Sus scrofa: one gene and its partner. The protein of the gene in region 1 interacts with the protein of each later gene in a biochemical or structural test. Links are inferred from orthologs where the notes say so. Each region holds a gene or a part of one and is shown on either strand. Other genes may lie near its edges.

Region 1 (4,281 bases):
GGCGCGTAAAATTGATGTGAACTGAACGAAGTGGGATCGGCGTGATCTTCCCTCTCTTGTCTCAACAGGGGTTTCGGAGCATTACACAAGGCCGAGCTTGTCTCTTTAAGGAGACATTGGACCCTAATTAGTCCGCATTCCTGGCGCGGCCGGGAGCAAGGGGCCGAGGGTGTTTAGATTGGAGCGGGGCGGGTGCGAGAACCCGAATTCGGAAGATCTTCTGACTAGCCTCCAGTCTCACCGCCCCCTCCACCCTCTTTATTTTGCCGCCACCATCGCCACCAACACCCAGTTCTGAAGATACAGCCAGGGCAGAGGCAACAGCAGCAGCAGCAGCCACCGCTTCTCCCAGGCCCACGTTACTTTGATTGACAGCCGAACAAATGTTTCCTCGGTTCGAACGCTCGCGCTAAGGAACGTCATCCAAGGCGAAGCTCCGCCTTGGGCGGGCCATCTCCGCCCCGCCTCTGCTAACCCCATAACGTTCCATTCATTGGTCCGAGCCGCGGACGACGCCCGGCCCCCACGTGGGTTCCAACCCCGCCGGCTCCTCCCCCCTAGCTTGCCATTTGTCAACAGTGAAATGATGGGCAGTAACACAGAACAGCGATTAATGTTCAGCCATCTCTGATTGGTTGCTGGAGACGCCTACTGCGCAGGGGGTGGGAGGGGCTCTTGGAGAGCACCCCAGAGTGGTCGCGTGGCGGGCCGGTGATTGTAGTCAATCTGGCGGAATCCTCAGCTGCGGCCGCCGGGGGCGGACTACATCTCCCGGGATGCTTCGCGGGCCCTCCACGGACGGTTGTGAATATGTATCAGAATGTTAATGATTAGCCGCTGCTAAATTTGGTCAAAGAAGTCACCTACACCGAACGTGTTGTTAGAGCTGTTCCGAGCGGGTGTTTGGGCTGTTGGCTGCTTTCTTCCCCCTCTCACACACTTGTATATTATTTTGAGGTGGTGTTCGCAGAGTTTGAAAGGAGAGAGATTTTTTTTTTTTTAAAGCCGCAAGCGTTTCACTCTCTTTTATTTTTATAATCCCCTCCAATTTGGGGTTTAAAAAGACAAGAAAACAGGAAGGAAGAAAAATAAGGAAATGAGATGTGGTAAAAGAAGCTAAAAGGTGCCTTTTAAAAGATCGTTGCTGTGAGGTGAAAAAAAATCTCCAGAGAAACCAAAAAGCACCGCCGAGATCTCTTCCGAACCAAAGGAGTTTGTGTTTGCTTTTAGGAAAGAAGAGAGAGATCATTCATTCGGAGGAATAACAACCAATTAAAAGACAAATAAAAAAAGTTTGGAGTGGGACGCCGAGCGAGCCAGTGAGCGAGCGGGCGGCGCTGCCGGCAAGCGCTGGGACGCGGAGCTCGCACTTTCCCGGCTGGGTGAGCGGCGCGGCCGCGGCGCCAGCTTCGGCGGGCGCGCCTCGGCGGAGCGAACGTCGGAGCGTTGCCGCGGGAGACGCGCGCCGGACAATGCCCGCGGCGGGCCAGTGACGCCCGCGGGGAATGCAGAGGGGCCCGGCTGTCTGCACCCAGCCCGCCGCTGCCGCGCGTTCCTGCCGCCCGCGTCACGCGAGACCCGGCGGGGGCCAGGACCGCCCGAGCCGCCCCTCGGACCCGGCCGGCCGCCTCCGCCGCCTCTTCCTCCGGGCCTTTAAAGCCAATGAGCCGCGCGCTTCTGCCCAGCGTAGCCAACTAAATCGGTTTGGATGATTCGCGACCTGAGCAAGATGTACCCACAGACCAGACACCCGGTGAGTGCGGGCGTCAGGGGCGCGGGCTCGCCGAGCGCCGGGGGATTCCCCGCGTCGCCCCCTGCGTGCCGAGTTGTGTCTGTGACCAGAGGGGCGTGGAGGGCGGCCCGAACCCGGCTCCCTGCCCGGGGAGTCGCCCGCCCCCACCACCTCTCCCCCCGGGCTCAGTGGCACTTTCGGAGCCAGGGTGCGGAGAGGCAACAGAGTTGTAGCCATTTTCTTATTGTTGTCTTTGAAGCCCCTGGAAGGCGCGCGGAGCCGTTTGTCGTCCCCGCGCCGCGACTCCTCTAGGAGGGGTGGCTAGCGATGGAGGAGGCGCGACTCCGCGCCGGGGCGGGGAGGGCGCCCTCAGCGGCGGCGCGGCGGGTCCGGCAGCGGCTCGGGAGTGCGGGACGCCTTCCACTCGCGCCGCACGCCCAGGGGAAGAGCGAACCAGTCGGCCGGGGAGGGTGGCGGCTGCGTGCCCCCTCCCCCGACCTGACCGCGGCTCGACGCCATGGCGCGCGTCCCCCCGACTGGCCCGTTTCGATTCCGGGTGGGGAGGCAGTGGGCGCGGCGCTCCGGGTGGTTGCTCACGGCCGGCGAAGGAGGAGAGCGGGGGTCTCGAACCCTTGGGGGGCCCGAGCGGGCGAGAGGACGCGGGGGCCCTTGGCCAGCCCGCTTGCAGCCTCCACTGGGCTTTGCGGCCAGGGGAGGGGGCAGGAGGAGAGTTTTAATCGCTCTTTGCCTGCTAGCGCGATGACACCCCCAACCCCCCGCCAGCGCGGCGTGCTGTGTTTTCTGCATCTCTCTGCCTTGCCTCTACTGTGGGCTAATTAAATATTTTATTGTTGTTCTTTAGGCACCGCACCAGCCTGCTCAGCCCTTTAAATTTACCATTTCCGAGTCCTGTGATCGGATTAAGGAAGAGTTTCAGTTTTTACAGGCTCAATACCACAGGTAACGATATTGACTTTAGCTGATTCTTCTGTTTGCTTAGCTCTTGTCTCCCCACCCCCGTACAACCCCCCCTTTTTTTGGCCACCGCAGAGGTATTGTCATTTTTCCTTGTGGGCAGAAAGGGCAAGTCCAGGCCTCTTTTCCTTTGGCAGGTGTAAAGAAATTAAGCATTTCCTCCTTCTCCCATAAATTAAAAAACCAAAACCTTAAAAGGCCGAACAATCGAAACTGGGGAGACTTGGAAAACGCTGAGGCCAAACTTTCGATATTGATTTATTGGGGCAAGGAGAGTGGAAGGTTGGAAGATTCTGGGGCCTTTTGACTTCCTTGGTTCTTTATTACTCTGCTTTTGATTCCTTCTTATTCTGCCATTCCACTGAATTACCAGGGGCACAGAGCCGTGGGAAGTCGCCAAGCAGGTGATTTCATTACTTTTATACTGAAAAGATGTTTATTGTCTTAAAAAGACAATCATTAGACTTAGAATGCCTTTGAAATATTTTTCTTTTGCTGGATTTTTGATGACGTGTGGTTTTTACTTCCTAAATGCCAGACCAAAACAAGCCACTGAACCGGATCCATGCCTTGCCCCTGGGTGGTGGTATTCAACTTGTCTCTGTGTTTTGGAGGGAAAAAAATAAGACATCATTCATAAAGCTTGCTTGATTCATGTTTTCATTTTAATCTCTTCGTGGAACATTAAAGAAAAAACTCCCTTGTGACATTTCAGGGGACTTTGTGTTTGGAGATGTAGACATTATTGATAATTATTTCCTCTTTGTTTTATTAAGTTAGTGAATATTCTGGATGCAATTCGCGTTAAATTGGTCATTTTTTTTTTCTTTTAAGCAAACAAAACCATCACATTTGATCCTTGTTGAAAGGGCAAGTCCAGGCTGGTTCCAATCACCCTTTTCTCTTTCTGCCTATTTCAGTAATGAGGGTGGTATTTAAGATAGTTGATTTGATGTTTTGTAGGTGGTGATTTGGAAGAGGGAATGTGTATTTACATTTGAGGGATGTAAGTCAGGTTCTGCAATGTACTTAGATTTCCTTTTTTCTGGAACAGCCTGAAGCTGGAATGTGAAAAACTTGCCAGTGAGAAGACAGAGATGCAGCGGCATTATGTGATGGTAAGAAAACTGTGTCACAGATTCAAAGTGCCTATTAGTTTGGGATGCCGAAAGCAAGAATATGTTCAGATTGCTGGAGGCTGCAGGATAGATCACAGTCAAAGTGCTGGGATACTGGAAGTCGTGGGAATATGACCATTAGCAACCTGTAATTCCAGGATGTTAGAACTTGCCTCTGACAACCAGCTTTGATTTGAATTTTCAAAAAGTTTAGCTGCATGGGGTATAATTTTCTGTCCTCAGTTTTTACAGATTGAAAAAAGTAAAAACCTCATTTATGTTTCATTTAGAGTCACAAACAAAATGTTTCTGTGTTAGTGGTTTTCTTTGTTGTTTTATTGCTCTTGCTCTAAAAAATTTTAACCAGAGTTTTTCTGTAAACTGTTAAAATTTTAATGTTATATTTTTTTAAAGAATGATGGTTAAGACACTAGACATCTTGTCCAGTTTTCCCCT
Region 2 (3,500 bases), about 5.4 Mb from region 1:
GAGTCAGGTTTGAGAGCCGGGACTGCTTCTAAATTCCAAAAGGGAGTTGGGTGGGGCGCTTAATCTTCTGATCATTTGTTTTCCCCTTTATAAGACCCTGCTGGCCTCTCAGGATTGGTTGAGGATCAAGATAATTCAAGGAAGACTCTGTAAACTGTAAAGCACTGTGCCTAAAGAATGAGTCGTCGTCGTCATTGTGTTGATAGTAACGAATGACTTTCTATTGTAAAGTTGAAAGGATAATTGGAGGCTGCAGAGATTGCTGTGTGCTTTCCATTCAGATACTTTTTTAGACTTCGGGCAAAAAAGCGATTTCTTGGATATTTTTGAAAAACCCTCTTTTCGACTACTAACACATTTTCAGCAATTACAGAAACAGTGAGGACAGGTTGAGTTTTGCTTTGTGATCCAAATTTGTACATGACTCACTCTTCTCAATGAAAAATGGAATTTGCATATCCACATCACTGCTCCCAAATTATTTCATCTGTTTCTAGAATAGTCACTAACTTGGCCCTAACCAGACTTACCTAGGCTGAGCATTTCAGCATCTCTTTAACTGCAACCAGTCACTGTTATCGGTTACCAGCCCTTGGGAGAATCACCACTTTCCCTTACCTACTATATAAACTCTGGTTTGGTTTAAACATTTCTAAAAATGTCTTTTTCATTAAAATTTTTTTTTCAACTGCATGATCATCTCCTTTGCAAGAGGAAGTCAAGAATTCCTCTGTAAATGTTGAGAGAGACATCCAGTGAAGGCTCAGGCTCAGAAAAGGAATGAAGTAATTTTTTTCCCCTGAAATGATCTTTCATGGCACTCTTCTCCCTGGTCTCGGTTTTATTGTAAAACCCTGACATCCTATTTGTGTTAACGAGGAAGAGCTGATAGCATGGAAATGTCCTTAGAAACAGCGATTTACCTCAGGGGTGGTCTCTGGAAAAGCTGCCGTGACTTGTGGTTTTCTGGTTTTTTTTTTTGTTTTGCTTTTTTTTTTTTTTTGATTGCTTGGGTTTTGACATATATATAACTGCTATTTTCAGTTAATTCTGGAGTCCAACACCCTTTTAAATTTTACACTAGGGTTATTGTTTTTCTCTTATGGAAAAAAGTTGCATCTTAGGGAAGGGTTTCACAGTATGTAGACAAGTCTTCTTAGACGAAGGGAGAGCTGACACATGAAGGGCACAAGTCAGCTTTCTGGGGAAATTTTAGCTCAGGAGGCTGGGCCATAGTCCTGGTTTACCACTGGGTCTTGTGTGACCCTGGGCAGACAGTTTAACCTCTATAGATCTCTGTTTTATATTTGTAGATAGGGACCTATTTATTTATTCATTGTCATTCAAAACATTTATGTGTTTTAGAAATGTTGTGGGGATCAAATGGGAAAACTGACTTGAAAGTTTTCTGTAAACCTTCAAATGGTAAATGGTAGATAGATGTGACAGAATTAATTAAATCATCAATGCATCGCATTTTAACCAGCACTGTCCAATAGAAATGTAACGTGAGCCATGCATGACATTTAAAAATTTCCAGTAGTACATTTAAAATGGAAAAAGGAAACAGGTACAACTAATTTTAATGATATTTTTAACCCAGTATATAAAAAAGATGATCATTTTACCATGTAACAAATAGAAAAATCATTAACGAGATTTATGCATTTCTTTTTTGTACTGAGTTTTGAAAATCTGGTATATATTTTACACCCACAATGCATCTCAATTCAACCGAGCCCTATTTCAAATGTTCAAAAGCCACATATGGCTAGTGGCTACTGTATTGGACAGCAAAGATCTGAATATTTCTTGGACAGAGTGGTCCACTATTTTGTTATCAACATGTATTTTCCTGGTTTCTCAAGGTTAAGCTCCTTTTTCCTTGGGTCCTAGGTATTATGAGACGGGGAGCATCAAGCCTGGGGTAATTGGAGGATCCAAACCAAAGGTCGCCACACCCAAAGTGGTGGAAAAAATTGCTGAGTATAAACGCCAAAATCCCACCATGTTTGCCTGGGAGATCAGGGATCGACTGCTTGCGGAACGGGTGTGTGACAATGACACAGTGCCCAGCGTCAGTTCCATCAACAGGTGAGGGCTGGTGTTTGTGGGAGGCTAGAGGTCTGGGTAGGGTGGGGGTTCCTGGGGGTCTCTATGTGCCTTTTCTTTCTTTTTTTTCTTTTTTTGCTGTACCCATGGCATTTGGAGGTTCCCAGCCTAGGGGTCCAATCGGAGCTACAGCCACAGCAACGCCAGATCCGAGCTGCATCTGCAACCTATACCACAGCTCACGGCAACGCCGGATCCTTAATCCACTGAGCAAGGCCAGTGATTGAACCCACAGCCCCATGTTTCCTAGTCGATTTGTTTCCACTGTGCCGCAACGGGAACTCCTGCATGTGCCTTTTCTAAAGATCTTGTCAAGACCACATAGAGGTTATCAGACAGGAGGGATGCTAATGGGGCTGGATGAGTCTCTCTATCACCCTTTCTTTCTCTCCAAAGTGGGCATGAGTCCTAAGCCCAGGGAGAGGAGGCCAGGCCAATACCCTGGCTGCTGGAGAGTCTCCTGAGCCCAGAGTCATTGCCTTCACTCCCTTCACCACCTGCCTCTGTGTGTGGAGCACTTAACTGTGAATTTTCCTGTTAGAGTTTCATAAATGTCACTTCCTTGCAAGCCAAAGCTCAAGGTTAGCACTGGCGCAATTCAGAGCTTCCCAGGAGGGAGATCCCTGCCTCCAGCTTGGGCAGAGGATGAGCCATTGAGTGTGGGGAACAGAGCCTGGACTTGGAAGATTTTAGTAGCTCCTTTTGCCAGCTTTGCTGCAGACATAGCCTGTGATTTTTTTTTTTTTTTTTTTTTGGTCGCACCCATGGCATGTGGAGGTTCCTGGGATGAGGGACTGAACATGCAGTGACATGAGCCATGGTAGTAACAATGCCAGATCCTTAACTGCTAGGCCACCAGAGAACTCCCTATGGTGTGCTCTTGACAGAGCTCTTCCTTTCTCTGAGAGCCCAGGACCCTGGTGGTTCTGATGGGAGCCTGTGGCCTCCAAGAGTGACATCCAGGATACTAAGATGCCGTGGAGTTAAGGGGTTGCCCTTTTCCCAATTGCCCCAAATCTTACCCCTGGAGAGAAAAAAACCAGAGAAATACTATGAGTACCAGGCATGGGATCTTCTTCTTGGGAGCTCCTTCTCCTTTCCAGTCTTGTCTAGAATACATTCAGTGGAGCTCTCAGAGCTTCAAAATGAGAATTCCTAAAAGTTTTCTACTGGAGATGGGTTTCAATGGAAATGAAACACATAGAGTCAAGGATGAAGTTGTGAGATGACAGAAATGATTGTTTTCTAAACTCCACAAAGAAAAGAGGAGCCAGCAGACTGAAAACCTGAACAGTTCCCATTTCTCCAAGGTCAGGCCCTACTCTTGTCAGTGCAGAGCCGGTCTGGGCATAGGGGACCCCTCACCCCCGGCAGAACGAAGCGGTCAG

Evidence for each region. The genes of interacting proteins can lie anywhere in the genome.
Region 2: the proteins of TLE4 (region 1) and PAX5 form a complex in vitro, tested with the Homo sapiens proteins (2 studies listed by BioGRID). The link is inferred for Sus scrofa from reciprocal best matches to the Homo sapiens genes TLE4 and PAX5.

The regions. Positions count from the first base shown.
Region 1 is NC_010443.5:232,355,098-232,359,378, forward strand, and holds the start of TLE4 (transducin-like enhancer protein 4), read left to right. Parts: upstream 1-1,481; 5' UTR 1,482-1,708; coding exon 1,709-1,753; intron 1,754-2,094; exon of another isoform or gene 2,095-2,249; coding exon of another isoform or gene 2,250-2,288; intron 2,289-2,594; coding exon 2,595-2,692; intron 2,693-3,761; coding exon 3,762-3,825; intron 3,826-4,281. UniProt on the Homo sapiens protein: Transcriptional corepressor that binds to a number of transcription factors. Inhibits the transcriptional activation mediated by PAX5, and by CTNNB1 and TCF family members in Wnt signaling.
Region 2 is NC_010443.5:237,764,955-237,768,454, reverse strand, and holds part of PAX5 (paired box protein Pax-5), read left to right. Parts: intron 1-1,896; coding exon 1,897-2,094; intron 2,095-3,500. UniProt on the Homo sapiens protein: Transcription factor that plays an essential role in commitment of lymphoid progenitors to the B-lymphocyte lineage. Fulfills a dual role by repressing B-lineage inappropriate genes and simultaneously activating B-lineage-specific genes.